4 linked regions of the Arabidopsis thaliana genome follow. The protein of the gene in region 2 purifies or fractionates together with the protein of the main gene of each other region. This does not show direct contact. Each region holds a gene or a part of one and is shown on either strand. Other genes may lie near its edges. The genes, in order: AT5G19485, AT3G07300, AT2G44070 and ATRPAC42.

Evidence for each region.
Region 1: the proteins of AT3G07300 (region 2) and AT5G19485 fractionate together in Arabidopsis thaliana (co-fractionation; one large-scale study listed by BioGRID). This does not show direct contact.
Region 3: the proteins of AT3G07300 (region 2) and AT2G44070 fractionate together in Arabidopsis thaliana (co-fractionation; one large-scale study listed by BioGRID). This does not show direct contact.
Region 4: the proteins of AT3G07300 (region 2) and ATRPAC42 fractionate together in Arabidopsis thaliana (co-fractionation; one large-scale study listed by BioGRID). This does not show direct contact.

The regions. Positions count from the first base shown.
Region 1 is NC_003076.8:6,571,852-6,580,185, forward strand, and holds AT5G19485 (transferases/nucleotidyltransferase), read right to left. Parts: upstream 4,684-8,334; 5' UTR 4,502-4,683; coding exon 4,436-4,501; intron 4,362-4,435; coding exon 4,266-4,361; intron 4,159-4,265; coding exon 4,081-4,158; intron 3,976-4,080; coding exon 3,895-3,975; intron 3,808-3,894; coding exon 3,588-3,807; intron 3,502-3,587; coding exon 3,443-3,501; intron 3,334-3,442; coding exon 3,284-3,333; intron 3,210-3,283; coding exon 3,122-3,209; intron 3,034-3,121; coding exon 2,782-3,033; intron 2,696-2,781; coding exon 2,603-2,695; intron 2,525-2,602; coding exon 2,420-2,524; intron 2,332-2,419; coding exon 2,215-2,331; intron 2,122-2,214; coding exon 2,056-2,121; 3' UTR 1,741-2,055; downstream 1-1,740. Other genes in the region: AT5G19480 (mediator of RNA polymerase II transcription subunit), read left to right, coding at 1-4, 93-385, 534-737, 847-906, 1,040-1,078; AT5G19490 (Histone superfamily protein), read right to left, coding at 4,918-5,343, 5,416-5,473, 5,576-5,686, 5,772-5,865, 5,969-6,041, 6,390-6,422; AT5G19500 (Tryptophan/tyrosine permease), read left to right, coding at 7,168-7,489, 7,572-7,612, 7,715-7,807, 7,892-7,966, 8,053-8,102, 8,191-8,280.
Region 2 is NC_003074.8:2,322,764-2,331,456, forward strand, and holds AT3G07300 (NagB/RpiA/CoA transferase-like superfamily protein), read right to left. Parts: upstream 4,897-8,693; 5' UTR 4,773-4,896; intron 4,662-4,772; exon of another isoform or gene 4,644-4,661; 5' UTR 4,618-4,643; coding exon 4,565-4,617; intron 4,487-4,564; coding exon 4,332-4,486; intron 4,250-4,331; coding exon 3,956-4,249; intron 3,458-3,955; coding exon 3,328-3,457; intron 3,205-3,327; coding exon 3,097-3,204; intron 2,960-3,096; coding exon 2,857-2,959; intron 2,778-2,856; coding exon 2,652-2,777; intron 2,572-2,651; coding exon 2,384-2,571; intron 2,277-2,383; coding exon 2,204-2,276; 3' UTR 1,854-2,203; downstream 1-1,853. Other genes in the region: AT3G07290 (Pentatricopeptide repeat (PPR) superfamily protein), read right to left, coding at 1-1,619; AT3G07310 (phosphoserine aminotransferase, putative (DUF760)), read right to left, coding at 5,294-6,044, 6,559-6,914.
Region 3 is NC_003071.7:18,228,982-18,236,067, forward strand, and holds AT2G44070 (NagB/RpiA/CoA transferase-like superfamily protein), read right to left. Parts: upstream 3,650-7,086; 5' UTR 3,489-3,649; coding exon 3,468-3,488; intron 3,351-3,467; coding exon 2,506-3,350; intron 2,427-2,505; exon of another isoform or gene 2,409-2,426; intron 2,399-2,408; coding exon 2,344-2,398; intron 2,197-2,343; coding exon 2,116-2,196; 3' UTR 1,884-2,115; downstream 1-1,883. Other genes in the region: AT2G44065 (Ribosomal protein L2 family), read left to right, coding at 840-1,387.
Region 4 is NC_003070.9:22,396,413-22,404,569, forward strand, and holds ATRPAC42 (DNA-directed RNA polymerase family protein), read right to left. Parts: upstream 4,002-8,157; 5' UTR 3,873-4,001; exon of another isoform or gene 3,756-3,872; 5' UTR 3,744-3,755; coding exon 3,609-3,743; intron 3,308-3,608; coding exon 3,119-3,307; intron 3,037-3,118; coding exon 2,907-3,036; intron 2,820-2,906; coding exon 2,739-2,819; intron 2,648-2,738; coding exon 2,460-2,647; intron 2,362-2,459; coding exon 2,266-2,361; coding exon of another isoform or gene 2,176-2,265; exon of another isoform or gene 2,153-2,175; coding exon 2,059-2,152; intron 1,974-2,058; coding exon 1,857-1,973; intron 1,764-1,856; coding exon 1,666-1,763; 3' UTR 1,501-1,665; downstream 1-1,500. Other genes in the region: AGD2 (ARF-GAP domain 2), read right to left, coding at 4,832-4,946, 5,024-5,469, 5,608-5,698, 5,893-6,017, 6,240-6,500, 6,585-6,671, 6,755-6,964, 7,225-7,350 and 1 more.

The sequences.
Region 1 (8,334 bases), on a different chromosome or scaffold from region 2:
GGAGGTAAATTTGGTTTCCAAGCTTTGATTTTTGTCAAGTTTTATTATTTTGGGATTTGAGGGTCAATGAGCTTCTGGGTTTCTAAGTGCAGGTCCTAGAGAATTGGGTGGTGCACTAGATCTTATAACACAATACAAGTTGTTGCCACACCATGAATTCTTTTGCAAGAGATCACTTCCAGAGTCACTGTCAGATGCTCATTATCTTCATAATTTGGTTGGAGACACAGAGATTAGAAAAGGAGAAGGAATGCAATTAGATCAGCTTATTCCTAATGCATCACTTAGTAGCCGAGATACGAATGCTCGCATCCAACCTTTTGTTCTTGATGAACTTAAGGAGGCTTTTGAGCTTAATGATACAGCTCCTGTTGAATTGCCTCCAGTAAGAATATTGCTCTCTCTGTTTAGATTTTAACTTCCTGTAACATCTAGATCTTTTACTAACCATGATAAGTTGAATTACTTCCAAGTATCTTGTGATGATAGTTGAGCTAGGTTTGAGAATATGAGATCTCCTGTTCTTATTTCAGGCAGAGAAGGGAGCTCCTACCACTGTATCAAAATCAAAAAGTGAGTCAAAAGATAAGGATAGGAAACATAGAAAACATAAAGACAAGAAGGAGAAAGATAGGGAACATAAGAAGCACAAGCACAAGCATAAAGATAGGATCAAAGATAAGGATAAAGACAAGGATCGAGACAAAAAGAAGGAAAAAAGTGGACACCATGATAAGGTTATAAAACTGTCTGCTCTTGTTGGTACCTAGGCCGTCTATATATGTATATTTTGGATTCTTAAATTCGATAGAATTGACGTGGTATACGCTATCACTTTACTTTCAGAAAAGGAAGAACAATGGGACTGAAGATGCTGATGACGTTCAGAGGCACAAAAAGAGTAAGGTAATATACTAATGGCAATGGAGGCATCTCCTTCTTTTTAGTGAAGCTGAATTTAGAAGTTTCTGGTTACTCGCACATTGGTGTTGCTCTGCAAATTTTATTTTTGTCGGCCCTAAAATTAACTTTTTTGCAGCATAAGAGCTCAAAGCTTGATGAGATGGGAGCGATGTAGGTTGGAGGCTGAAGCCGTGCACACTTTCATTTTTGTATTGCACACCCAAGGTGTCATGGAGAGGCTTAGAAGCAGCTAACTTTGTTAGGTAACTCGGTCACTAGAGTCATCTTCTCATCTTTAGATAACGCACGTTTCTCATATGGGGCTGCGTCTGTCATAACCAACGGTACTGTACATGATGAATATGATTGAGTCAACAAAGCTATGGTTGTTTTAAACATGAAGAAATAATTATTGTCTAAGGCTTATAAGAAGATAACCTGGAACTCTAGCGACCGAGAGTGCACTAACTTTATTTTGGAGTCTCAAATAATTAGAAATGTTTCTATATGGTGTAGATTTGTCTCAACATAACATAAAATGATTTGGATTTGGTTTTGCAGGTTTAATCTCTAAATAAAAATTGCATTGTGGGAGAAGTTAGGAGGGGTTAAGCAACGAAAAGTTCGCCAAGAAGAATCACAACTTGTACATTTTGTTACACTTTAAACAAGCTATGAAGTTTATCTATTCTCGTGACTATTTAAACAGAAAGGTTTCATACATTCGAAATCATTTACTCTGAAATTTATCGAATCTGAAGGCATGTGACTTTTTGGGTGTATTCGTCTCTATGGAAATACCAAAAACAAAATTTAGATCTTTCAGGAAAGTGTTTTATCTCGAACAAAAGAGTAAATAATGAGAAGAACAAAAAAAGACATATGTAATATAACCAACGGAACAGAGAGAAGGGTCAGTGGCTGACAAAGTGTTTCAAGACTTCATGTATATGTAATGAATAGCAAAAGATCAAACTCTATCAGTAAAAGATACTAACGGAAAATCTCAAACTCTTAATCAACAAAACCCTTAGTGGGAAACTTTCCAATCCTTCACACTCTTCTCTCCTACCAAACGAATGACTAAGTAATGCTGCTTTTCATTTTAAAAAAGCGTTCCAAGATGTGACCTCATTTGCTTATCCTTCCTTTTCATTTTCTAGCAAAGGTCTCTCCTTTGTGCTCACTCCCGGCACAAACAACATACCCTGCTTCCACCTATAAAACCAATTGATGTTTTGATTATGGAATCTGTAAAAGCATTGATACGTAGGGGACACTGTATTATGAAAACTGAAGGGGGTAACGTACTTGGCAGTCTCTTAGAGTAACACGCTCTTGAAGCTGTGCGTTGCTGCAAATGACTGAGCCTTGTATTGAACATCCGTCTCCAATTGTGGCATGGTCCATCACAACTGAATTAACAATCTGCACCCACATATACAAGCAGTTGAGTGTCTTTTCGAGATGTACACCACCTTTCTTTGGCTGGCTTGAGTAAAAAGCTAATTATTACCTTCACATTGGAGCCTATCCGGCAATGTCTCCCAATTACAGATCTTTTGACACTGCATTTATCACCGACTTGAGAGCCTTCTCCAAGCATACAATGAGGTCCAACCTGCAACCCAAAAATTGTTATTCACGATCACAACTCACAGAACAAATGCTCAATATCTACACATGTAGAGTTACGTACTGTGGTTTTCGATCCAAGCTCAGCTGATGGGTGGACAATGTTGTGATGAGCAGAAAAGGAGTATCCAGATAGGTGGTTTGATTCACCAATAACCTGCACAAGTTTGAACAATTGCGGAGCTTCATAAGTCAACTGAGAAAAAAATACTGGAGAAGGAATCCCATGTGTAAACAACTTACATCTCTGTTTACGTCCATGAAGGCTTGAATGCTATTCAAGCGGACGAAATACTTACTTTCATCCGCTATATAAACACAGCATTTATGGGTTTTCCGGGTACCCAGACCTGATTCATAGACTTGATGAAAGCTTGGCATGGATGCGTTGGAGAGAATTTGAGACAAGACCACCTCGTTGTTCTGCATATTATTTTTTCCATTTCCATTCCCATTTTCTTCTACATTACTTTGGTCAGAGAAGACATCTGATCTCTGATACTCAAGGGGAAACCGCACAAATAAGGAATCAAAATGGTAATAAAAAAAAAATGGTCATTTGCAAGGACCGTATCCGACTAACCAGCTGTGTACGAACAAGATACGGTAGTACATCCTGTTTTAGGCTCCTAAAAGCAGGTTTTTGATCCAAAACTTCCTGCAGAACTGCTCTGTAAGACAAAAGAACATATTGAGTATCGACAGATAAAACTACTTTGATAGCAGGAAAGCAGATCTGACCAACCTCTTGAAGGCATATATATGAGAATCCATCAGATCTGATCGAATTTCCATCTAAATCGAAAATGACAAGATAATTAGAAACTGTACTAAGAATTTGTAATATATGAATCATAAAAAGATGCATTTGTAGGTAATTTCAAAAACTTAATAAGAACATTACCTTGCCAGCCGCACAGAGAATGCTCTTTTTTACTCGGGTATCTTTCTTAATCTCAGTACCTAACACAATTTCAGGAGGTAAACCAACAACAAGTTCAAGCATTTTGTTACCTCTAAGAAACATAAAGAAAAATTAAAAGTAGGACCTTTGGCTATGTATAACAAGAACTGTTTCAAGGAATCAAGCCCTATGATATCATCGCAAGCAGGTTTTTTGGTTTTATCTTTCCCACCAGAACCTCCTGATTCTGATGGCCCACTGACAGGTTGAGCACAAAGCATAACAGTCACTGCTGCATCATGCCTTCTATGAGTGGCGGCAACAGCACCAGGAGGAATATCAGAAACAATGTCTCCACTTACGATCTACGTCAAAGCAAATTACCAGTTAACTAGAAGCTCAAAAAGTTGCACAAAGCAAAAGCTACGAGACGTCTTTATTGAAAAGCTAACCAAAATGTCTTTGGCAGTTAAGTGGTGTGCAATTGCCCTGAGTGCCCCAGCAGTTCCAACATTCTCAGCAACAGCAGCAACCTAAAGTAAAATATCCAGCAGAACATTAATAACGAATATGACACTAGTTTCTTTCAATCATGCATAGAGTTTTACAGAATTCAGATGCCATAGATGAGTAAATACCTCAACATGTAAACGATCAACACAAGCAGAAGAAATCCATCCACCAACTTTCAAAGCAGCATCTTCCCCTTCAACAACCTGTTCCACCAATGCGAAACGAAAAAATCTGAGCTCTATTGAAAACATTCAACCTAGAAACTCGCAAAAGGAAATCAGTAATTGTATTGAAAAGATAAAAGGCGTACGACGATCAGATCCTTGAGATTACTACTCTCGAGAAGATCCAGAACGTAAGACAACACCGGACGATTCGCTACGGGAAGCAACGCCTTAGGAACTTCCTGAACAACAACAACAAATTAGCAATTCGTCGAAACTGTTATGCTGATGATGAGAGTGAAAGAGAGAGACGGACCTTGGCGACTAAGGGAACAAGATAACTAGAGAATCCGCCGGCTAGAATCACGACCTGGAAATCCATTGTCGCAGCTGAATTGACGAGAGAAGACGAAGAAGAGAGGTTTCTGCTTTCTGGGGTTTTGATTTTGAGAAACGGTAGACGAAGACGATATCAATTTAACCCGCTTGTTTCTTTCTTTTGGATCCGACGGGTCGTTCCATTAATCTTGGGTTATCTATCTCACTTAAATATTTTAATTAAAATTAAACATTAACAAAGATTAAACCATACTTTATGTATATGATTTTATAGTTTGTGTAAAGCTTGCTATCAAATTAGAAGAGATGAATGAAAAAAACGAAATTACATTAAAGAGAATGAGAGCAATCTCCTACATACACACTGCTTCTATAATATATAAGTGTGTCAATTCCTAAGTTGTTGTTTTCTTTCTCCTACCTTTAGTTTTAAGTCATTTCACCTAAACTGAAACTCTTTCACTCTTGGTCTATGCTTTCTTCATCATAATCTTCCTCGTCACTAGCACTAGCCTGTTGTTGATCATCAGGATCTATTTTCATTTCGTTAATCTCCAACGGGTAATCTGGACTTCTCTCTAGCTGTGTTTCCAGCCATGTAGCATTGTCTCCATTCTCATCTAATTCAACATTAAGATCGAAGTTCCTTACTTTTACCTCTGAGTTACTACTATGATGATTGTTGTGTGATGCAACTTTCTTCCAAGATGTATCGTCGTGAGAAAGGCTCCCGTTTTCGGGAGACGGGGTCCTGCTGCTTTCGGGAGAACCGTCTTCTAAATCTTCTTCAAATTTTAGAGACAGCCCACTTCCTGTTCTTCCACTACTTCGTCCGCGGCCTCTACCTCGCCTTCCTCTGCCACAGCTAGTATGTTTGACCTCATGCTGTAACAAGGCGAAACATATGCGTTAAGTAATATACAATTGTCTATTGGCAAAATAAGTCTGGCTAGTTACCATTTGAGTGGTCTTTATCATATCTTCATCGTTGCAACTACTTCCATCAACAACTTTCCTGAAAAGTCGAACAAACAAGTTGTTAGACACGATACCGATATCAAAATTAGGTAGATTGATTGCTGACATAGAATAGAACTATAGAAGAAGCGGGCCTAACCTTCTTTTGGTAGCTGATTGGTCTTCAGTGTCTGAGCCACCCAAATCAGGAACTTTAGCGACAGTGTCTCTTAGAAAATCAAAGACATTAGTCGCTTGCACACACTGCTTCCTGGAAAAAGAATAGAAAAGTATTGAAGAAGCAAGAAAACAATTGGTTTATATAAGCAAAATCCAAAGATGAGATTCACACTTACAAATGAAAGGCGTTGACAGTTTTAGCACCTCGGCTTAGAGTTACATCATACGTGTGATTACACAAGTCTTGTAAAAACAGCTCCAAAGCTTTAGCTGAAAAGTTAAATTCAAAACCAGAACAGATCAACTACATGTGACACAAGCTAACATATGAACAACGTTTGAGTAAGAAAATCAAAAACATCACATCACTTACAAACAAGAAGAGGGACTGCCATTGCTATTTTGCCAACTTCCTCATCAGTTTGCATAATCTTCTTAATCCTTGTCTGAAACAAATTTTGAACATATCAACACATACAAAATCAGACTCAGACACTAAGAAATTTCTTATGTAGATATCAACATCTTTGATTAGCCCTAAACAAGATATCTCTGCAGTTTATTTATATCTAGCCATGAACAAAAGAGCCCTCCAAGTCCAAAGATACATTCACAAAGATAAATTTAAAAACCTAATGAAGACAAGGACCATGGAACCCTGAAGAAGTAAACCTGAAATCATAGCAAAAGTTGAACCTAACTACTCTCACAACTCACAAAACAGAGTTCATGGTTATCTCCATAAGAAGAAGAACATAACAAACTATAAAACAGTGAAAAGTAATGTTTCATACCGCTGGAAAACGTGTCTGGAGCTTCTTCTTCATGCTATTGTTTTACAGAGGAATAGCAGCTTCCAAAGTCAAGGGGAAGAAGATAAAAACCCTAATTTTGAAATTTGTGTTGCTTGCTTCCGTTCTCTCTGGAATAAATAACAAGAGAAAATCAAATTAACAAATATATATATTGATTCCATCAAACACGACAAGAAAAGGAAAAAAAATAAATTCCTTTGGATCTGTTTTTTTCTAGTTAGAAATTGGTCTCTGTTTTCTGACCCGTCCTTGTCGGACCCAAATCATACGCAATTGGACCTTTTTTCTCCCACTCTTTTTTAATTTAATAATGAGATCTTATATTTTATTTTGCTTTTCATTTAACAAGTTTTATGTAACAATTATTTAATTTTGACAGCATGTATTATGTAACATTTAATTTGATTTATCACATGATATCTTAAGAAACCATAAACTCAAAATAAATAAAAATTATTTTTATAGAGTAAATTGTAAATTATACTTTATGTTTGCATTGCTATTCTTTTACTTGCATACAACTTTTGTATCATTGATGCAAATAGTATTTTCTAAAAGCAAAATAGAAGCATAAAATGCATAGATTTTAAATTTAATTGGGAAATAAAACTTCAAAAATAAGACAGCCACACATGTTAATCTGGAAGCTAAGCTCTCTCTAACACAATCTTTTGACTGTCGGAAGTCGCAGAAAACAAACCAGAAGACTGATCATAGGCTTTTCATAGCTAGTGTCTGATATCAGACAAACACAGACATGTCTGTGTCTCTAAGCTACACTTGTCTTCTTAGATTACCCACCTTTTCAGTTCCAACGAAACCCATTAGTTTCAATGGACCTCTCCCTTTTTATCTACCAAGATCTCATATTTCCTCATCTTGTTTTGGTTTCAAATCAAACCCATTCATAAGAACTCAGACCCCAAGATTCTTCAAGTGTTTGCCTCAGAGAGTGTCTGATGAACGCAGAGAAACACAAGTAACAACAGAAGAAGAAGAAGAAGATGAGGAAGAAAAGATTGTCGTATTTGAGAGGCTCTTCTCTAACCTGAATCAATCAACATTGAAGCGAGAATCCGGTACAAAGACTGTTACCATTTTGCATGTGAATACCCAAATTTGGATAGAAATTTTTGGTTTTTAAGTTTTAGAAATTTTCAGGAAGTTTGTCCAGTGCAATTTTCTTGGTTGCTGGCACTACCGTAAGTGTGTCTACTTTCTCATAACTCTGTCCATATTCTTGTTGAAACTATGCAAGGAATCAAGTTTGTTTTCTGCTAAACTTTTATCCTTTTCTTGATTAGGTAGGTGCAGGGATACTTGCGATTCCAGCTGTGACACAAGAATCAGGTTTTCTAGCCTCTGCAGTCGCCTGCATTCTCTGTTGGGCCTTCATGGTGATGATGGATGATTCTTCTTATCTCTGTTTTATGTTTCTTGCAAGTAACGGATTGGTCATTAGTAATACATGTTGGCTTCAGGTTGTGACAGGTTTGCTGGTTGCAGAAGTAAATGTCAACACCATGAGTGAACTAGGCTCTGGAGGCGTATCTCTTGTATATCCCCTCAAACCAATACTTCTATGAAAACTTAGCTTAGTTATTATGTCTTTAAACTCAGCTTTGACATGATATTTTGGCAGGTCTCAATGGCGAAGCGGACTCTTGGGTCTGTTGGAGTTCAAGTTGTTTCGTAATCATCCTCTCATTCTCACTTCAGAACTTGCTTTCCATCACTGTTTCTTTCATTTAAACTTGAAACAAGCCTTTCTGTTGTGTAGTTGGTCTTATCTTCTCATACATTACACCCTTCTTGTGGCTTACATTGCTCGGTCATCAGGCATCCTTACCAACTTCCTCGGCATTCCGATGTATGAAACTCCAATTGATCCTCATTTACACTGACACTTTTGAGTGTTGTGCTT
Region 2 (8,693 bases):
ATTTTAACCAATGTCTCCAGGATAAACAATGCGTCACGGGTTTTACCGACTTTACAGACACCATCGATAAGAGTTGTACCTGTTACTTCATCTAGGCTTATTCCTTTTCTAAGCATCAAACCTAAAAACGCGCTAGCAACGTCAGCCTTCCCTTGTTTGCAGAAAGCATTTATTATAGCGGTGAATGTAAGACAATCAGGCTCAATGTCAAAGCAGTTCATCGAGCTAAGTAGCTTGTAAGCCGTATTCATATGGCCTTCTCTACAAAGCCCATCGATCAAAACATTATAGCTCACAATGTCAGGTGACAGGCCATTGTCCAGCATTCTCTTCAAAAGGTGCACAGCCTTGTACGGTTTCCCGACTCTACACAACCCTTCCATAAGCTCGTTAAAAGTTCTTACATTTGGTTTGCAAGCCCTCTTCTCCATTACAGTAAGAAGCTCAAAAGCGGGAACAACCCGTCCATCTTTGCAGTAGCCATTTATCAACGCATTGTAAGTTATTACACTAGGAAATATCCTGTCTTTAACCATCTTTCGACAAACCCCATTAGCCTCTTCAATCTTTCCGTCTCTACACAACCCATCAATCAAAACAGTGTAAGTGTGGACGTTTGGTTTACACCCTCTAGGAATCATCTCATCAAACAAGTTAAAAGCTTTATCAATCAAACCTCTATCGCACAAGGCTTTAATAAGCACAGTATATGTACGTGTGCTTGGTTGGCAACCTTTCTCACCCATTTGATCTTTTAGGCCAAATGCTTCTTCAAGTCTCCCTACTTCACACAACCCGTGAATCAAAATGGAGTAACTAACAGAGTTCGGTGCACAAGTTACCTCCTTAGACATTACATCAAACACCTTGAGTGCATCTCTGAGATTCAATCCACGGCAAAAACCCAGTAACAAAGAAGTGCCTATATGGGAATCTAACACAAACCCAATTTTAAGAATCTTAGACATGAACATCTCAGCGGCTTCCGTGTATCCATTCTTACACAGAGCATTGACAATGGTTCTGTAATCAATCATACCAACAACAAATCCGTCAGCTTCCATTCTTCTATAAGTCACGTAAGCCAAAAATCCTAAATCAAGTTTAGCTAAGGACATCAAAAGAGAGCTGTAACAAGGGTAATTTAACCGGAACCCAAAAACTTCTCTCAGCTCATCAAAACAATACATTAGTTTCAACATCTCTTTCTCGCATCTACTACATTCCTTGATCAACGCAACAATAACAGCATGCGCAACTCGATACAATCCGGAAGAAACAATCAGTTTCAAAAGCTGATTTTTCTGAGTTGGGTCGAAACAATACGACGAATGCTTGCAGACCCACATGAAAAAGCGAACGCAAATATCGTTGTCACTGCGTTGAAGCGAAATGACCTGTGAAGCGACATTTGGATTCATGTGAGAGACTAGAGATTTAAGAGAACTGTTCTTCTCCCAATTGGGGGTTTTTAGCAAAGATGCGACATCATGAGCCGCCACTTCGTCCGAGGAAGACAGAGAAGGTCGAGAAGAGACGGAGAAGAAGGCATTAGAAGGAAAAACATGACGCCCCAAAGCTAAGATCTTTCGAGTACTTCTGATATGTATCAGCAGCATACACAGTACACAGATTGAAAGGAGCCGGAGAGAAACAATAAAAATGTTAACTTTAACTAGTGGGGTTTAGGGTTTTACTTTTATCTCTCTGGCTATTTTGAACAATGGTGTTTATGCAGGTGTTGTCGTCTGTCTGAATATTTTCACGGCGAAGATATAGTGATCCGGTTATGAGGTAATTGAAATTGAACCGTACCGAACCAATGCATCGCCTCACACTTATCAAGTAAAATTGCACCCAAAACTTTAATTAGTTAAAATAAGATGTCCTGTCCACCTCCAGTGGTAATTCTCGTATTAGCAAATACAAAAGCCAACCAAAGAAAAACGTTGTGTTGAAAGAGAAGTATACTATCAAGTAACAATAGACACCATTGAGACTGAGCTAAAGGAATTACCCAAGACACGGCAAAAATAAACTTGGCCTGACAATTTCAGACACTAAGATGTTTCTCTTTTTCATTCACAATCCTTGAGCAACTGTTTTTGTGCAATGTACATATATTCTTCAATTGTGAATGACCGACTATCCGACTGAATGTTGTATAGTTCCCACCAAGTGACCGAAAACTAGTCCTTTATCGCTACATCACCAAATCATCAGCAGAGTAGTAGTCCGCAATAAGACGGTACATGTAGGATGGATTGTGTCCTCCCCTGTAACCAAAAAGGTAACGCTATCACCAACCCTTTATCCAAAAAAGTAATGCCATGAAAATGGACCAACCTAAGAATATAGCAAAGATTATATATAGGAGACTTACGTGTCTGTTATAAAGAGACTAACAAGGTTTGGTGGGACATAATCGAATGTTGGGTTGACAACTTGAAGAGACCCGGAACCTGCTCCAAAATCCAGGCAATCAGAGAATTCACCAAAATCCAACAGTTCAGATGGAGATCTCAGCTCATTTAGTAATACTTCCGGATTGTGAGGATAGAGGGGACACAACTGTTATTACATTGGAAACCCTAAGTCAAGTTTTGAGAGCAAAAAACAGTTTGAGAAATTAAATACAACTCGAAACCAACCTTGTGACTACCAGCAAGAACCACGAATGGGACTGCGTGCTTTTGTGCTGCAAGAGCAGCCATGTTGACACCAACTGGCCCTATAACTCCACCATTAGCCATCACTGCATGAGCTCCAATTATAACCTGTGCATTTTCACATCATTGCAAATTATTTAGAAGACAAGGACAAGAAAACATAAAGTTGGGTAGGAATGAATTGTACCATATTCACTCGAGATATCATAGCAAACACTGCAGAGTCGGTGATCACAGTTGTCTGCAAACCTCTAGCTACCAATTCTTTTGCTAATAGATGGCCCTGATATCTAATATAATAGAATAGAAATGGAAGAAAATTTGATACAGCTGAGTTAGATGGACAAATCAGAGAGAATATAAAAATGTTGAGAGAAAACACTAACAATGGTAATGATGAAACATATAGTAAAGGGAGAAACCAAACCTTGGAGCACCTTCGGCAACAAATACACGAAAAGATCTTTTTTTCTCCTTTGCAGCACACAGAAACTCAAGCACTGTTCTTGAGCTACCCAGGGTTAGGATCACCTCACTGAAAAAATAGAATTTAGGCAATACAAAAGTGATCATCACGAAAAGACACTGAGAAACGACCATTTTAGTTCTCCATGTATAACATGTTAAAGATAAATAATGCTATAGAAAAGAAAAGTACTTTTGATGTATATGCTCTATAGCTTGTTCAGCGATCTGCTCATGACAACCAGCAATCTCTTGAATAAGTTGATTCACTCCTTCGATAACATCATGCTTCAGCTTCCGAGTTAACGAACTTTTATCGGCAGCTAAACAAAAGGGTATATTAGACCATTAATATCAACCAAAAACAGTAAAATATTCTTGCTGCCATATAAAATTTTGATCTATGGTTCATTTATGATATAATCCCAATAAAGTGAGACGAACCACCTAAAAAAGTAGACTGATAAGAACATATATGATTCTCATTTATCTCTATAACTCAGCAACACAACACAAACTCACAGGTAATTCCAGCAACAAAACTACAGGAACCAGTAAAATAGGGTTTGCTTAAACTCTCCCAAGCCTAAATGCCCTAAAGCAAAACCAAAACCACTGAGACCTAAATCTGTCTACGATAGCTAAAAAGAAAACCTTATATATCAGCTTGTAAAAGAGAATATGAGCCAACATTATTAAATTCCAGCGATAACACTTATCTTCAATGGTTTATCAAAGACATCAGTAAAACAGACGGCATAAGGACCTACTGAAAAAAAAACAGTATGTGCAAAGGAGAGCCAAAGGCATGAAAAAGGTACATTTACTTTTGCTTTCGGAATCAGCACCAGATGAAGATGTGTATGGAACAGTTGCAGATTCAGGAGTGCCCTCGAGAAGCGTTTGCAAAGATGGAGGGCGTAATGTACTCCTAGCTGCAGCTGCAACAACTGCTGCAGACATTGCAGGAAACCCAATTCCTTTGCAATTGTCTACATCATCATCATCACTTGCATCCAACAAGTCCAAACCACCCATAGCTGCTGTAGTTAGAGAAAGATCTTCCTCCCTTATAATATGCAAAACCCGTCTAACTACATTTCCCACCGCAAGCTCTACAAAAATCATATCCGTATATATCAATTCCTTTCACAGACTAAGAGAGAAGAAGCAAAAAGAGAGTTTAAGAAGACATACCAACAGGATTAGCAGCGATCAATTGCTCACCAACAGCTTTCACAGCATCGATAAGAGCGGCAGCTTGGTTAGCGTGAGGCACCCGCTGATGCGAAATTACTGACCTAAGTAGCTCTACGGTGTATTTGGCTGTAGCCTGTGAGCCCTCAATCTTACTGTATGAGATAATGATCCAATCAGCAACTATATTCACAAAGGGTTTTACGAAATTAAGCCAGAAAGAAAGAATTTACCGCTTTCTGAGCTTGTTAACAAATTCCACCACCGTTGATTGAACGTCTGGCATCTTCTTTAACCGAAATTAACGAGAAACTTGAGAAAATGCGAAACCTGAGGCGTTAGATTTCATAAACCCTAATCACGCGCGATTCGCGGCGGGAGGAAGAAGAAAATGGGAGAAGCCTAATGTGGAAGATGAGGAAGCAAAATGGATATGCTTACCAGTGAATATGTGACGGTGGTGGGGCGATAAGGAGATGAAGTAGCAAAAATCTTCCGGCGAGAGAGAAACGGAATTGATAATAGGAGACCAGATTTTTACATTCATTCGCTCTAGTGACAATTGAAGGTTTTTTGGTAGGTCTAACTTTTGGGCCGAAATAAGGTGCTATTTGGGCCTAAAATAAGCCCAAAAATACAAGCATTATCAAAGTATCTCCTTCCCTTTGCATAGCTTCTTTGGGACCCAAATTTTAGTTTTGTTTTTGAGGTTTTGAGTCTTTTGACAAAAGGAGAAAGATCAAATTGAACAAGGAAACTTAACACATAACATAAAATTGAACCCAACTACAGTATCTCTTATTCCTTATAACCACACCACATTCTTATTCAGAAATCAAAATATTTCTAAGCAAGATCTATACATTGAACTGAACAACTGCCTGAGAGATTCGGCAGAAACATTTCTCTATATATACACTACCAGAAGATCATGAAGCTTTTCTTCTAACCAGACTTGTTCATCATATGCTTTTCTTTCCTTCTTGTTCTTCTGCATTCCCATTCTCCTTCAGCTTATATGCACCATCTACATACAATTCCGTGTCCCACAGGAATGTCCCAAACGCCACAGCCTCGAGAACCAACCGCTTCAGACTCGAAAACGATGTCACTATGGTCTCATCACTCTCTTCCGTGCCAAAAAGAGCCAAACTTTGCTTCTCTATCAGATTCCTTGCCTCCTCTGTCCTTGGTTTTGCGCATCTCTGCAATGTCTCGGGATCAAAGTCTGAGATGTAATGTCTCAGCTGCTGCTTGTTGGAGATCTGTGCAGTGCCCGTTGTGAATGAGCATCCAAAGATGGGACTTTTCAGATATCCGCTTCCATGAATATCTGATAAGGAACACTCAAGCTGGTGCCTTAGGGAAGCTGATTTCAAGAAGTAACCGTACAAGATCGAGGCAGCATATACTTTCCTGAGATGCAGTTTCTGTATCTGCGTTGTTGCCCAATTGTCAGTCACACATGAGTTGACCCGTAATCCGATGACTGCGCTAACGTGTTCTTTGATGATCTCAAGGGTATCGCAGCTGTAAATTGACTCTAACTCCCAGTCTTTTGAAGGCCAGATCTCGAGTCTTCCATTATAGATGCATCTGGATAGCTTTGGAACAAGAGGGACTCTTATCTCGGAGTATTTGTAAAAGATTAACATGTACATTATGTCTTGGACTGCAGTTTTACAGTAGCGTTCCTTGAGTTCAGCTATCCTTCTGCCAACCATGGAATCAGAGTGTTAGTGTTCGTAAAAGAGCAGAAGATAGTTGAGAAAATGTTCACAAACAGAGCATAAAATGGCCTGAGCAAGTCAGAGAGTTTAACACAGGCAAGAAACTAAAATATACGGAAACTATTTAACGAACTAAGCAACAATGAAATGTAAAAAAGCAAAACCAGCCCTTATCAAACACTAAAACAAAACTTGCTTCACAAGGCAGAGTATGAGAAAGCACCTGAAGATCATAACTACAGAATTCTCTTGTTTCAATTCAACCATATCATTAGTGTGATTCTCAAATCATCATAAACTGATAAACACCATCAAACAACTTATAATCAAACTTTACAAGCTTATGTGATAAATACTAATAAAATACTGATTTGTGGTCGATTAAATAAGAGTATGTAAGTAATGATTTACACATATTTCTTTGTATGTTTATAATTCTACAGCTGTTTACGGATCTTTGAATTGTGAGAGATTAGATAAGGAAAGGTTTCACGGACCTGTGGAGAGAAGCCTCATCGGAACCAGAGCTGAGAGACATACGAGCTAAAGCAGCTTCCCTATCATCAGCCAGTTGCTTTAGCTCATCAGCGGCGGCGTAATGAAATAGCTGCCGTTTGTTTAGCAACACGCTTCTCAGAAACCTCCCCTGCGCCGATCGTGGCTCAAGCGGCGCGTTTAGACTGCTTCCAGGCTCACACCGACTCTGTCCCGCCGCCGCAACCACAACCATCGAACTATACTGGATCTTCCTCTTCGCCGGAATAACAAAACCACCGCCTCCATCGCCGCTCTGTCTCCTGGAACGCGACGGGAGAAACTGAAGCGCCGTTTGATTAGAGAGACAACTATCCATTGATCAGATTTGAGCAATAAAAAAAACCTAGAAACAGTGGAAAAACCCTAAAAGGATCTGTGATTTGAGAGAATTTCGGGAATTGTGAATGAGAGAGAGATGAAGAAGAATGATTTAGCGGATTAGTGGGAGAAGTGGCGAAGAATGGATAAGGTTGAAGAGAGTATCTTTTTGTTACTATATTATTCCGTTTCTATTTTTACATAAAAATATATTTGCTTCTGTTTTTTCCAATGGGCTCCTCAATTCGGTGTGTGGTTATTGTTTAACTCCAACTTGACAAGTGCATATATGTCATTGGCTATTATGTAAATCTTATTTTCGTTGAAATCATTTCTCATTCACATTTTCTTTAGCTTTGAGCCACCTGGAAATTTCAAAAATCCTAGATTCAAACGGACTCGGCTAAAGTCTAATTTTACAGGATTAGTAAAACATAAAACTTGGAAGTTTAGTAAACCACAATTAATAGTATAAGAGAATTTGATGAATAATTGTTTCAAAGTAGTATAGTTTACGTAAATTAGTTTAGTCGTATGATTTTCATATTCATTATAGTTAGGTGGTTGATGTTCACAGATATTTGTATATTTTATACACATGGGTTATAGTTTATGTATGGTACACACAGTCTAGCTAGATTGATGAATCATGATACCTTATCTCAATTATTGGCAATTTTATAAACAAATATAAGATGACCCATCGTGTTCTCTGCCTCAGGCTCTGAGTGTTAAAGGATTGGACCGATTGGTGGTCCTCTAAAGCCATCTTAGCTTATTTGTAAAAAACACCCCTACTTTTCGTCAATCATGCATCGGCTAACAATTTGATTATTTATTTCCTTCCCTTGACAAAAGAGTTGCAAATTTGAACCCTTATTACTCCTGAACAAGGGTTCATTGTGTGTTGATTGGTATATTTATTAGGTTTAGTGTAACACTAGTCTATCAAACTACAATGATACTTGAAATGTAGTTGTCATCGCTTGGATCTAAATTAGAAGTTCAAATTTGTATTTTAGACAGAAGTTGATACTAATTACAAATTTCATCGGCAGTATTTTGGATTGATGTGTGGTAAAAAAAAAAGTTAGAATGAAAAAGCAGATTCAAGATTTAACTACTTTGGTTATAATCAACTTCTGGCCGTAACAAATACATATATAGTTTCCGGCTATCAAATAATTTATGTTTGTTTTGTTATTTTACAATTGCTTTAAAAAATGTTTTCCTGCTTTTGAAACATATACAAAGTACAACCGCGGAGCGGGTAAGCCATGAGCCCATGACTCGTGCGAGGTTTTGACTTTGGATGACTTCTGAATCGTGGTATTGAATACTTTAATTATTAGGATAAGTGGAAGCTCCTATCATAGCGGCGTGTACATTGTTTGCTATCACTTGGGTGGTCCACAGCCTAATCTAGAGTTTTAACCCATCGTTCTAAAAGATTTCAAATGTGAATAGATGAGACAATGGCATAGATGTAAGTCTAAGTGTATGTTCGATATAGTTGTTAAATATAGTTGTTAAACTAAACTCTTTTTTTAAAAATATATATATATTTTGATAAATCTCCATGGTGATATAACAATGGTACAAACACAAGTTAAACCACTAATTTACGTGTCATAGTCTAGTTATTACTATGTTTTTTTCATAAATGTGTTTTTACTTTTTTAGTAGATGTAATTAAAGCTAATTAGCAGAAGAAAAAAAGGGAAGCAAAAGCGAACATATATATGAGGGCACTATGGAGCACAACACATGTCGCCAT
Region 3 (7,086 bases), on a different chromosome or scaffold from region 2:
GATGTATGCTTTTGACAGACTTTTCAAGTTTTCTCACTCTTTGCTTTGAACCTTGAATGAATTTGTTGAAGAGGTGATATATGGGTTGTGAAATGGTGTAGGAACATGGTTGCACTGTGAGTTTTATAATAATAGTTAAAGCCATTTTCCTTAGGCAGAGTATTGTTACAAACAACAAAACATTGAGTAACGTCTATTGTTATGTTAGCCTCTTCTATTTAAGTGGTCAAGTTGATTTTTTTTCCTATGTTGTGGGTTTTATCAAGCTACAAACCTCTTCTAGATGGATTAGGAACTGGATGAACGAACTTACTTACTTCTGGATTAGATGATGAGCTAGTGTGAAAGTGCGGTTGCTTCTTTTTGTTAGATGATAAAAGAATGAGCTTGTATCACATCGGCTCTTCTTCATAAATTAGTCTTGGATTAAAGATTGAGCTGAAAACTATGCTACTTCAAGTTAAGATACTATGTAACTAGAATAAGTTTATAACTAGGGCCTAAGCTGGGATCTCTGCAACTATGGTGCTATTTGTATCTAATTCTTCTCCTAAGTCTCTTGCTAGCTGGATTATATTCTTTTCCTATAATTAAGATTGAGCTCTGTGGAGTATCATTGATTGATGCATGTAGCTACTTTGTGGGACTTGAGTCTGTCTAGTCTATAATTAAGATTGATCTGTGTGGAGTATATACATCTCAAAAGTGACTTAACCTGAGGGATTTGGAGATCCAAAGTTTCAATCAAGCTTTTTATTTTTTGTCAAAATCCATATCTTCTGTTTTGTGTGCGTTTTATTTTTTGATAGAAAGCCTCTATCTCTGTTGGTGTTTTGCAGGTTTTGCTGATACACAGAACAAATCATTGGTAGCACAAATGAAAGAAGAGATGCTCCACATGGACATCAACTCAATGATAGGAAGTTCCATGCCACTAGGTATGATGCGTATCGGAACAATCATCCACAACATCGAGATGAACCCAGGGCAAGGCGCAAAGATGGTCCGAGCTGCAGGAACCAACGCCAAGATCCTAAAGGAGCCTGCTAAAGGGAAATGCTTGATAAAGCTTCCGTCAGGGGACACCAAGTGGATCAATGCCAAATGTCGTGCTACGATTGGCACAGTGTCGAACCCGTCTCATGGAACGAAGAAGCTATATAAAGCAGGACAGAGTAGGTGGTTAGGGATAAGGCCCAAAGTTAGAGGAGTGGCGATGAATCCGTGTGATCATCCACACGGTGGAGGTGAAGGAAAAAGCAAAAGTAGTGGAAGCAGAGGAAGGACATCGGTTAGTCCGTGGGGAAAACCGTGTAAAGGCGGTTACAAATCAGCTAGTGTCAAGAAGAAGAAGAAGCGTTTGGCAGAAGCAGCAGCCAAAATGTGATATGGGTGAACAAGTTTCGATTTTCTTCAAACGTTTCTTTCTTTTAAAAAGCCTCCAATGTTATTTGGTTACGTTATTGAATCTGTTTTTTGAGAGTTTTTTAGGCTTCATGAAACTAGAAGATCTTTGATCAGTTGAGAATAAATATGGTTACGTGTTTACTTTTATTAAAAAAAAAAAATCGAATTCAAACGTTTTCATCATAACAACGTTTAAAACAATGCGAATTTCTTTTTTTTATATATATATTAAAATCGTCGAAATCAAATTTGAGAGATTTATATGCTTATACTAGAGAAAAGGGTCTAAAAAGAAAAGAAAAGGAAACAAGAGAAAGAGTCAAAAGGTTGGAACAATATGATGCATTGAATCAATCCCCACGATAAAAAAAAAACATTCAGCAAAAAAAAACATTCAGCACAAATGTCTTCTTTGACTAATTAATTACCCCAAAACATTAATCAAAAAAGTGAAGAAATCAATTTGACATCTTCCTTGGTCTAAACAAACAACCAACTATTGAAAAAGTTCCTTATAGTGGTTTTTGAAAATTGAAACAAAAAACGAGAATGGTATTCTATAGGGAAAATAGTGAAAGAAGCCCACAGAATTGGAATAAGGAATGAGAATTAGATGTAACAAACAACAGAACAGCAACCATGCCTTATAATCTTGGGTCCTACTCCTCCATATCATTTCATTTTTATTCTTACTTCTATTTTGAGCATCTAAATAACAATCTTTGAGCTTTGAAGCAAGTGTTCTTTCTGATATTCTCTTACGATGACAGGCACACTTGTGGGAGGTACCTGAAATATAAAACATGGTCAGTGTTCAATGGTTTGAGATTCTGAATGAGTGGAGAAACTGTGTTGCATGAGTTATGTTTAGGGATGAGATCACTTGATCACCATAATGCTATGTTTTTAATTAAGAGCCGATATGATTAATCTTACCATGCCATAATCTGTGATTATCATGGAAATGTAATCTGAAGGTGTAGCATCATACCTATCATTAGAAAAAAAATCACAAACGGGTTTAGTGGCAGGCAGAGAAGAATAGTATTAACAGAACATATATAGTTTCACTTGTACGATTAACACAAGCTAGCTTACATCAAGTTCAGAAACTTCAGCTTTGCATTGTTGGTCAAGCCATTTAAGTAGTTTATGTCTTCTCTTCCATGAACTTTTGAAATAGCATTTGGATCACCGAGCTCATTGGAGCATATTGAATAATCCAACTGCACCTTCTCATGGAACTTATAGGCTTCGCAACAAACAAGCACAGGAACACGGAAAGCATTAGCCACCATTGCAACACAAGCAGTGCCAACCCTTGAGTAAACTGTTCCGTTAGAAAAAACTGATGAGGCGCCCAAAAACACTTTGGTGACTTGGTGCATGATATATGATATGGCAGTTATATGAGTGTATGTACAGTTAATGCCTCGTTTGATCAATCTACGAAGCAGTAGCTTCCCTTGAAGCTTTGGTCGAGAATCCACCACAAAGACACGAAACTTTTTCCCGAGTTCATGTGCATGCACTAATATCATCTCAATGACAGTGGAAGATCCGTAGGTCAGAAGGACATCACCGTCTCTTATTTTAGTGACAGCATGTTCGACTATCACTGTATCTGCACCTATGATTTTCTCGTTAATGAAACGTTCAATATCTGAGTGAAGAGAAGCTTTTGCTTCAGATTCAGAAAGTGTTATAGGCAGCTTTGCAATCCTGTTTTTCACAAATCGGATTGCGTTTCCCATGCTAATCGAAAGCGGACGGCATTCTATGAGGAAAGAGACGTAGCTACTTATTTGAGCAGTCATGTCTCTATTAAGGGTATTCTCAGGCGGCGTCGAGTAATCTTTAACAACCTCTTGGAATGCTTGGAGCATCGCAATACATCTGGCATTGCCACCAGAAATATCCCAAGAAAGATAATGAAGACCAACCTGATAACCACAACAACGTCATACTCATTCACTAGACAAGTAACATTCATCTTAATGAGCAACCACTTATTAAAACAAAGAGATTATATAATTGTATATTACAAGCACTAACCATACCTTGTACACAGCAGAATGCATAGGGTCAAGAAGTTACGATTTTCTCAAATGCTTCTTCCTTTAAAAAGCCTCAAGGTTTGGTGACGTTATTGAATCTGTTTTTGAGAGTTTTAGGCTTCGTGAAATTGGAGGATCTTTGATCAGTTAAGAATAAATATGGTTAGGTGTTTCCTTTATTTAAATATCATCGATCGAAATCAAACGTTTTCGTCATGACCACGTTTTAAACAATGCGTTTTTTCCTTTTTTTATATACTAAAACTGTCCTAATCAAATTTGAGAGATTTTTATATATATGCTTATGTATTACTAGAGTAGGGCTCAAGTAAAAATTCGAGGAAAGGGTCTAAAAAGTATAATTCAGAAAACGAATAAAAAAGGAAACACGAGAAAGAGTCAAAAGGTTGGAACAATGCATTGAATCAATCCCCACGATAAAAAAAAAAAAAAAAAAGAAACATTCAACACGAATGTCTTCTTTGACTATTATCTATTAACCCAAAACTTTTAGTTATATATACATTTTATCTTTTTGATGAAACTTTGAATGCTGTAGGCTGTAGCAGAGAACAATATATTCTTCAGCAATATTAGTTTTAAGACGTTCACTGATAGATTAGAGTTAGAAATTAGTCGGTATTAAACCAAAAAAAAACACACACTAGTATAATACACTTGACCGCATAATTTTGCTTCCACTTGAAAAGTGAAGAAATCTATTTGACATCTTCCTTGGTCTAAACAAACAAGCAACTATTGAAAAAGTTCCTTATAGTGGTTTTTGAAAATTGAAAAAAAAAAACAAGAATGGTATTCTATAGGGAAATAGTGAAAGAAGCACATAGAATTGGAATTAAGATTGAGAATGAGATGTAACAAACAACAGAGCAGCCAGCCAGCCACCATCCTTGCAAACTTGGGTCCTACTCCTCCATATCAATTCCTCATTTCATCTTTATTCTTACTCTTCTCTTTAATCTTCTAATTAACAATTTTTGAACTTTTCATGTTTTGGTACATAACCAACGAAAAAAGAAACAAGTGACGTACAAAACACAAGAAGAAAATGAAATTATCTTAATTGATTCTGACCTAAAGAATTTAACATTTTCTCTTTCAAATCTTTTGTAGCAAGGGAGGTGAAACGAAAACGAATCATTAAGATACGTGCAATGAATCCAATAACCTCTATGACTAGCAGATGCATGAATTTTATTTTTGTGTTTCTGTTATGCATCTTTTTAGTTGCTTTTTAAGTCTGGTCATATCTTCGCTCAGACTTCACTGATGCAAAGCTGGATACAAAATCGACAAAAGTATATGTCCCCATATATTCCTATCTTTATACTGAAGAAAATATATACTTTAGCTTTATCTATCGCACTACTTTAGTCTTTAGAGTTGATTTATCAATTAGTTCCTAAATCAACTAATGCACATGATTTAATGTAATTAATTGTCTCTTAATTGTACGGATTAGGTGATGAAGATCCACCGTCCACCATGGCTGTAGTACCTAATTAATACCGTGTAAACTTTAAACCACGGGTATTACTTATGATTGTTATTAGAAAATAACATTAGCTTACCTCAAAAAAAATGAGGAATTTGTTTTTGATTTCTAGCAAAAAAAAAATGAAACCAAAAATGATTAGACGACTCTTTTGTTTGTAGACACAATAAATAATATAGAATTTTTGTAAGAAATTAATAGTTTAGAACAATATGCGTGTATTCAAAAAGAATATAATTAAGAATATTTGAAATGATTAAATACCAATATTATTATATTAGTTTATATTTTTAAATCAAATTACTCAATTACAAAAATAATACATTAGAAAATGATTAATTATATTTTTCTAAAGTGTTATAAAGACACCATTTCCTAACGGTATTGATTTTAGATAATAGAAAACAATAATTTGTGAGGAGAAAGTATTTAAAAGAAAACAGAAAAAGAAAATGTATAACGTAGAAGAAAGGTGGCTTTAGATTGGAGAGTTGTACGAGGAATATTAATAAGTCAAGTTGGTCGAGATATGCATTGAATCGATGGGAACGAGCCACGTGACAACGACATGTGCCGTTTCATCCACATTACATACCTTTTGAAATTATTGCTTATTTAATTCTTCTATCAACATTTTTTTTGCTTATACTTATTTTCTTCAATATATCTCATACCACTAACAATTAATAAAGGCTAATCTTAATAGAGAAATAGAATCATTCGTTTTAATAAACTCAAGTATATGTGATGAAACTGTGGGCATATCATATAAACTTGTTATTGAGCATAATAATTCATCTTATTATGTCCTACTATGCATTATGCAATGTATATAATATGAATTTTTTGTTGAATATTGTTGCAGGTCCACTATGTTCCACTAGACATGCAATCTAAGGGAGGGTTTGCGATGTTCAAGGCAATCATGCATGGGTTGCCATTTCTATATAGCTTTCCCTTTCTACAATTTTTTTCTTTCTAATTTTCTAAAAATTAAATATACACACACTATGGATGATGGATTAACCAATAGAATCCAAGGAATTACGAGTAAAAAAAACACCCTCCTATAGTTCACCTATATCTTATATCTTTCTTGGTTTTGGCTACGAATTGAAATCTTTTTCTGATTTGGATAAGAGATTGCGCTCTCTGTATACGTTCTTATATATATCACTATAATCAAATATGGGTTTTCTATAAATCTGTAAGGCATTATAAACATATGTATCAATATATTCTTAACTGACATTTAGATTGGTATAAGCAATGTTATTTACCTACATATTATCTATTTGTTTACATAGGAACTGGTGGCATCGATCCTAACCATAAGATCATGAATACAAAAAATCAAAGATATCGAATCAAGTACATATCCACAAGATAATTTGAATATCTTTTAAGATCGGGAAGATATCACTATGGTGTATATGCTATTTATATAACTGATCAGTTATATATAGTTGTTAAACTTTGTTCTAACAATTTAAAAGTCTGCATCATCTTTTTATTGACGTTAATTAAGTTTTGTTTTTGTTTAAAGCGGGAGGTGAAGTTTTGTTGTAATTATGTCTACTTGAGCCATTATAATTGTAGAATAGTAATGTCATTTCCATTGGGAGTTTAGCTAGTAGTTGACGAATAAAACCATTTCTCCTTTGTAAAAAAAAGTAGAAAAGACGTAATCAATAGATGTTATACATGCGATTCATTGAATTTGGATAAATAAGTATTTTGGATTGAAAAAAAAATAAAAAATGAGTAGTGGATTTTGGTAAGCTGTCAATTGGTTAATACCAGAACGGCTGAAACTAAACTGCTTGCGAAAATTATCATGTCCCTCTTAATTAAACACCCAACGAAAAGTACTTATGAATATATCCATTAGATATTTTAATTATTACATTTTTAGGCTGTTAAACAAATAAATTATATCGGTTTACCTGAAAGATAATGAATGAAAAAAAAAAAATCTTAATATATTATTTTATGTGTTTTTAAAAATAATAAGCTGTCTTGTATTTTTAACAAATAGCATTTTTAATATAGTACGATATTTAATACTATATCACTTTTTTGTTTAAATCATACTAAACAACACCT
Region 4 (8,157 bases), on a different chromosome or scaffold from region 2:
TAAACGTTTCTTGTTTTCTCTTTAGAACAATGAAGAAGAATACGGAGTTATGGACGAATGGTGTGGGGAAAGGAAGAATTAAAATAACCACTAAACTCTTGCACACACATTATGCACTGGTCTTCTGTATTTAGAAATACTTTCTCTTGTTATAATTCAAAGATACACAAACTAATAATTACCAATTCAATTTACAAAATATAGTGTCAAAGAAAAAGATCAAAAAGATTCAAAAACATTGTTTTTTTTAACAATGGCTGGTCATAAAAAGAGTCTTACCCGTCTTTTCTTTGTTTCAGTAATTGATTATATTATCATTGTTCAGCGGATTAGGAGAAGGAAGCAAATATATAAACTATAAAGATATGATAAAAGACAGAATTCCAGCTTGCGGCAGTAAAAGCCCCCAAAGAATGTGTCAAATTTCCAGTCAACCTTTACCATCGTGGTTGTGAAATTGCTACGCGTTATCGTCGTGAACAACATCCGGATTCGGGTTAAGAATATATGTATGATATGATATGTCTAAACCATTTTCTATAAACTATGAATTTTTTTATTATTATTGATGTGATATTGTATATCGTCATACCGTCAAAATTTAATTATTGTAAGATACTTTTGTTTTATTTTGTAACCTGGAATTATTTTTTTTTATATACTAATAAATTAATATGTTACCATGCATAGCTTAAACTTCTTGTTAAAAAAAAAAAAAAAAAAAAAAAAAAAAAAAAACTTCTTGTAATAGTGGTATTTACTTGTAAATCATAGTTAGACGAGTATTTTGACATTTGGTAATTGAATCCGAAGAACTTAAAATTGTTTGGTCAAAACTTCTAAACTCTTTCAAAAACTCAGCACCCCTATTTGTGGTTATGTTGTAAAGATCCACTAATAACCAATAAAACATGTGAGTCTTGTGATATATTGTAAAACATGTTCGTTATAAAATTCACAACCACATTGTCGAACTTTGTTTATATTCCCTTATCATAATCAGTCTTACTATTAGCATAATCAACTGTTTATGTACTGATGTCTTCTAATTAGAAAACTTAAAAAGGTAAAGAAAAAATAGAAAAAGAAAGAGCTCAGTTAAGAGGCCATATCACCAGATAAACTGGAGAAATGCAAAGGACCCAACCTTTACAGAAACCGATTTCATCACAGCTCTATTGCACCAGCCGGGAATCGAACCCGGGTCTGTACCGTGGCAGAGTACTATTCTACCACTAGACCACTGGTGCTACTTGTTTAAATGTTACTTCTTCAGTTATTTATACATAAACTCTCATAGTTCATATTTAATGAGAACATTTTGTATAATCTAATGTGGCAGGGATCTATTCTACCACTGACGCTATTTTAAGTGTTCAATGAAACCAAAAACTACTATTACCAACACACACCTTGATTGGCACAATGTAAGGAATGGCGTCAGTGTTCTAGTGGTAGAATAGTAAAACCAAATTAAACCGAAGCAGATTTCCAAAATTGGTTCAGCTAGGAATTTTGTTATGAATCAGAACTCAGAAGGCTAATGAAAATCCAAATTGAACAACAACCGTATAAATAAATATGTCAATGTTGTTTGTTGGTAATTTATCAATAGGAGGAGAAACATTGATAGACAGACAATTCAAAATTGAACTAAACCAGAACTCAAAAGTCGGTTATAGCTTCACATTTAGCTTCCAATATCTTCACAGCTTCAGTGAAGAGAACCTCTGGAGGCAGTGATCCGGTGGACTCAATGTTAACTGAGAAAAAAGACGACAAGAAACTCAATTACGATATCTTTCAGATCATGAGTAGCAGAGTAAAAGGAATGGGTTTTATTTTTCTCTTCTTACATATAAAATGGTTCTTAACACTGCCAAGATCCACATGGTCTACCAAATCATCGTCTCTTACGCATTCCTTACACAATGTGCACTTACGTGGCTGCGCTACTGTTGCCCTTTTCTTACCTGTTTTCCACAAGTCAGTATGAAATCAAATTTAAGTAAGTCATGCAGCCAAGTTCATCAGCTTGCATAAGATTTTATACTTCACCTTTTCCCATGTCTTCAATGTCGAAAACATTCTGTGGGCAGACGTTTACAAGTCGTTCAGCAAGTTCATCCTCAACTTCCCCACGTAGAACCACCTAAGATAGTATAAACAAAAGCATTACGAAACATATATATTGGGATGAGGAAAGACAAAACAAAGAGCTGTTTCCCATAAAGCATATGATAGATTGATGTATATACTTCTCACCTCAGGATGCATTCTATACCAAGCAGTCCCTACTGGAGACCACTTTGCATGTGTTTTACCAATGCCCTTAACCGCATGAGCTTCGAGCTCGATTTCCTGGGAAAAAAGAGATAAAAGAAGATGCACATGTTTCATCTCTCATTGCAAGTATGGTCTGCTTGGGTGTATATAAAAAGAATGTACAGAAACACTACCTGACCAGGGGCGAGTTTTGCTATCAAGATATCGAGGTCGCATGGAGTGATAGGATTATTAGCAAATTCAGGTAATGAATCTTGGCTGCAACTGAATGAAGTGTAAGTTTTTGGCTTTGAGGTTTTATTTTCCGATTCTCTCAGAAGCTCACTTCCATTTGGTAACCATTTTAAATCACTCGTTAAAACTACAAGAAAACGAAATGATATCTTTCATGAGAGATGGAGCTGATAATAAAACAAGAAATCTTCTGATGCTAACTAATGAACATATATTACCTTTAAGACGTGGTCTATTTTTCGGACATTTCACATGGAGTTTGAATACAATGGTGTTCTTTTCATTCGCCTGATCATGTTCTATCATACACAGATAAAGAAGTAAGCTAATCAGAAGAATTATCATCATATGTAGATGGATCACATACCACTGAAATATATGCTTACCGGATAAATATTCAAAAAGTCTTGGATCTGCGGCAATTGGAATAAGACCCATCCTGTGAGCAAGAACTTCGTCTATAATAACCGATGTGTTGTACGCTATCAACACTTTTTCAATAGCCATTGAAGGAACCTGCAATAAAGAAAGAAGCACTTTAAGCCAAAGATTACAACAATGAGGGATTCATCAGAGGTTGTATGAAAACTTGACAGACCTCAGCTATAAGGATCCTTCGGAATGCATTGGCAAACGCTGCATCAATACCAATCATATCAAATTCCATATCTGTCTTTGTGAGACTAACCACATCAACTTTGAAGTTATCATAGAAGTTTCCTAGCTTCACATTGTCGTCCTCTTCCGTAGAAGAAACATAGGTACCCGAGTAAATGGCACTCGCAGTCTACAGAAAACACAAACACAAGATTAAAGACTTCAAATTTCAAACAATCACTACTCAATATCATCTTGAATTTGAAAACAAAAGGTGTATTCTGGTAAAACACTTAAGAGCCAAACTCGTAAATTCACAGCTTTTCACAGGAAAAAACAAAACTTTTACTCTGTATCATGAACACAGCAACGATAGAACTCAAACCCACATGGGATCATTGAGAAAAGCTATAAAATTTGTAATTAGATAAGCTTATAACCAACAAAACAGAGCATAAAAGATTGTAACTTTGAACGAGAATAGTTCTTACATGAGCAGGAGCGTTGTTTTTAGAGACGACACGAGTTTGCTGGGCTTTGAGATGTGGAGGAAGTCCGGCAGGGACGTCAGGGAGATCGTCTATGTTGAAATTTTTGGCGAATTGTTTTTCTGCTTTAGTCACCATCCTTGTCTAGGTCTATAGCAGAACTAGGGTTTATCAAATTGAGAAAGAGAATTGAAGGGTTTAACAAAGGAAACCACAGGGGGTGAGGAAAGTAGTATTGGGTCAAAGAGTGAAGTCGAAGAAGCTTACCTGTGGCCGAGAGAATTGAGCAATTTAGAGAGAAAGAGAGAGTAGGAGGCGGCGGCGAGGAGATGAAGAACAAACGGTGAAGGGTTTTGAAAAAGCCGCCGGTTTTATTTAATCCCTTAACTCTTTCCGGTTCGAATTAAAACGCATTATTACCAAAAGAAACAATAAAAAATTCATTTCAAAAGAATACTTCTTCTTTTTTTACATTTCAAAAGAATACTGTTTAACACTAAAAATAAAGCCATTACTTTAAAAAATAAAAATTTATTCCACAAGATGAATACTTTCTTTTGCTCATGATTTTGTTTTATAGCAAAAAACAATAATAAGAATTTATTCTTTTTCGGTGAATTGTTTAATTTAAAAAAAAAAAAAAAACTTTTCTGCAATCAATTCGCAGCATATTGGTTAAGCTAAGAATATAAACTAAAAACATATGTAAACAACAATTCTAGGAATGACTCCTTTTGTTTTTGGCATCTACTGTGAATGATAGGCTTTTTTGAACTCTAATTAATATTGGTCAAAAAAAAAATGTCGATGGGACTCTTCTACGTTAGTATCTAAGAATGTGGCAATAGCACTACTTAATTTAGAGCAAAATAATAGAAGAAAACACGACACTTACTTCATCAAATTTTTGTTGGGCAATGAGAATGTTGTCTATAATAAAGTTTCCGGCTACAAAACACATATTTGTATCTCGGATATCAAATACAGAAGAAGAAAAAAAAACTTTGAGGTGCAGGCTTAGAATCTTTGAGATCATCTTATGTATAACATTACAAAGGCTAATACAGTAGGTCGGAATCTTGACATTTCCTAGAGTTCTATCTCCTTCGGGAATTAGGTAAATATTGGAGCATCAATGCGATGAGCAAGTCATGACCAAATACTACAACAGTTACAAGTTACATTCCTTTGCGTAGCAATCAATCAGCAAATGGTATATTGGTAATTTACTGACACTCTGCTAATAGAAGGAAGAGCTCTTCATCGGTTATGGCTCCCATCTCCATTGCCCTTTCCAACACACTTAATCCTCCACCATCCTCTATTGATGGACGAGCACCTCTGTCAAATTCAAAGAAGAGAGACACTAAGTATCTACTCAAAGTGCCCCTCATGAGATTTATTAGTTAGTGTGTTACCTTCTCAGCAAAACCTTTGCAAATGCGTTGTTCCCTGATGCGATGCAATGGTGTAATGGAGTTCGTCCGTGGTAATCTCTCATGTTTATGTCAGCCCCGAACTGCAACAGCAGTTCAAGCAAGATTGGGTCACCGCTTTGACACGCCACATGCAACAATGAGCAGCCTTGAAGACAGTTTCTTGCTTCGTTCGAATTCTTGATTCTCTGACACGCATTTGGATCGTGCCTTTTCTTTACTTCATCTGGTGCATCAACATGGTGGTGGTGATATACATCAAGGTCAGTAATATCATCGAACTTGGTATTGATGATATTTGCATCTGCTTTTACAATGAGTCGGTAGATGTCTCTTATGTTCCTGCTTTGAACCGCTTCCCATATTCTACTTGAGGCAGTAGAATTTGCTTCTCTTTCATCTTTGACAACTAGTGCTTTCTCCAGGTACTAGCTAGGCATAAACATTATCAGCTTTAGTATCATAAGCCTTTTCTATTCACAAGAATATGCTCATTTGGATGATGCGTCAAGTGACATGAATCTGAGGTCTATGTATGCGAAAACTTTAAGAACTAAATCTCATACCTTTCCGTTAATATATTTCTCCTTCAGAGTAAACCAATCTTCTGAAGATGGTTTCGAAACTGATGCAAGTGTGTCTGTCGATCCCTTTTCACTGTAAATATTCAACAGAAGATAGGATCATAGGAAAGTAAAGATCACCAATCTCATGATTTTACACAATTGGGAAAATAGAAACTTGTAAAAGAGGAACAGATGATTTTGATTCAAGGAATGTTATTTCTTGATTGTGTTATAGAGACAGTCTTTACTTATATAAACAATCTAATTTTCCTTGAGAAATTATACCTGTCATCGTCAAGGTGATGAAGTAGCTCCTCCCAGACTGAATTACAGTATCCGTTGCCTAAGTTCCGAAATAAGTCCAAGATTGTAGGCTCCCATACTTTCACATCCAATGTGAGCGATCTCACCTGCAGACATTCTTTGACATTAGCTAAATATCTAAGCTTCATACACAGATGTTTAATTCAGCAAGAAATATAAACACTTCATCTTAAAAAATTGAGCTCTGCAAATTTTGGTTGATGCAAAGATATATAGCACATGGTTAGCTTTACAACAAATGAGCTTATACAACCTCGAACTAAATGGAAAGAAGCTACGCAATATCGTACCAAAATGAAGAAATTTACCTTGGATATATGAACGCCGAGATTCCTGTGAACACCAGAGCATTCAATGCACATCAAAACTCCAAGATTCAATGATGCCCAATCGGGGTCAGGTGCATTGCATTCTGCACAAGTGTTATTTCCAGGAATTTCTCTGAGTATTGTAAGGACGTCATCCCCCACATTTAGTCTTTGATTATAATCTTCTTTTTGATTCAGGGTGAGGTTTTCAGTGGCAGGACCAGAACTAGTATTCTTTTTATCCAAGTATCTTGCTGGTGACTGCAGAAGATATTAGATTCTATAACAACACAAAATTTTCAATTTGAAGGTAAAAGAAAAGTATGAGACTCATATTGAGTAAACCTGCTGCAGAAAATGAGAATTCAGACGTATTGTTATAGCTGCTGTGATCTTATTTACCCAATCCATCCTATCAGCTCCATTTTCAGCCTGTAGCATATAGAAATAAATTGTGTTGGCCTCTTGATGCTATATTTGCTCCTTCACGTTTCTATATCTAATAAATTTAGTACCTGTAGTGTGTAAGTCTTTTGAGGAGATATAATTCTAAAACAGAGTCGAAGATCTGTGTCCTCTGCGTCCAATTTTATCAGTGAAGTACGGAGATCGATCATATTGCAATCTAGGCTTCCCTGTGAAGCTGATCGATTGTGTCTTGTACGAAATCTCCCAAAGACGCCGCTACTATGCTCTCCTAAACCACTGTAGTAATGCTGAGATTTCTATAAATAGAAAAAGATGATTAGAAGGATAGAAACTGAGAAAGTGAAACTTAAAATAAAAGAATACACAGGTGAGAGAGATTTGTTTAACAGTCAACAAATATAAATATAGCCAAGACATGAGGGAGTGCTAGTATATCTACATAACTATAAAAATGTACGAAATTGGACATTGGAAATTGAACTATAACCAAGTCTCAAAGAGCTTATGGATCTCTTTCATGGAAACGAGGAAGTGAAAAGGAGCTTGGCAAACATACCGCTGATTTATTACCGGTGTTTCTGTAATAGTATAGGGATCCATGGTTGTCAAGCACAAAGAATCTCCTTTTCCAATCAGCTCTCAAACTAGCTGATCGCTTTAATAGATACCCTTGTTTAGTTACCTGCATTAGTACACAAGACAAAATAAGTAAGACATTAGCCTGGACAAGAACTGAAGCAGTGAAGTGTATAGCTAATCACCAAATGAGTCATCATAAATCTCAATGTCTACATGGTTGTAAAGCAGTATTATATCTAATAACAGAAGGCCCAAGTCTTGAAGCCAGAAATATTCTTTGCGAGCGCAACTCAAATATTGACACTATTACTTTAACTTTATAAGCATCTGAATGAGAGCTGGATTAATTGTGTCAGTTAGAAAACAACAGTAGGGTAAGCAAGATCCTGTCAATATAAATAGCCATATTCAGAAACAGCGACCATTATATCTTTGGACAAACTATGCCACTTCTAACCATTTTCCGGTGGCAAGACAAAACTTAATCCATTTCTTTACCAGAGAACCATTGGAACAATTTGTGAAAACTATGGTTTGGAGAACCTTACTTCCTTGTCTGCTGTTGAAACTGAGTTTGCTTCTACGTTTTTACGGGGGATAGCTCTATAAACATGGTTTCCACCAACATCGGAGGGATCTGCTTTAGCAGAGGCCTGTTGGCTGTCTAATTCAGATTGAGTCCTGAATTCTTGAATGCGTTGTGCAAATCGATCTTGTTCAATCTTAGACTGTTCTTTTGACTGTTGTGCGTATGTCAATACCTGTAAGAGGAAAAGTAGCAGTATTAATGAATTTTATTAGAGAAAGCTTTAAGTATCTTTAACTGTTAACTCTCTAAGTCTGCACATCACTATTTCTCTCTTCGCTTAAGACTATAAATTTATTAAAGTCACATGTTAGCGTAGTACAA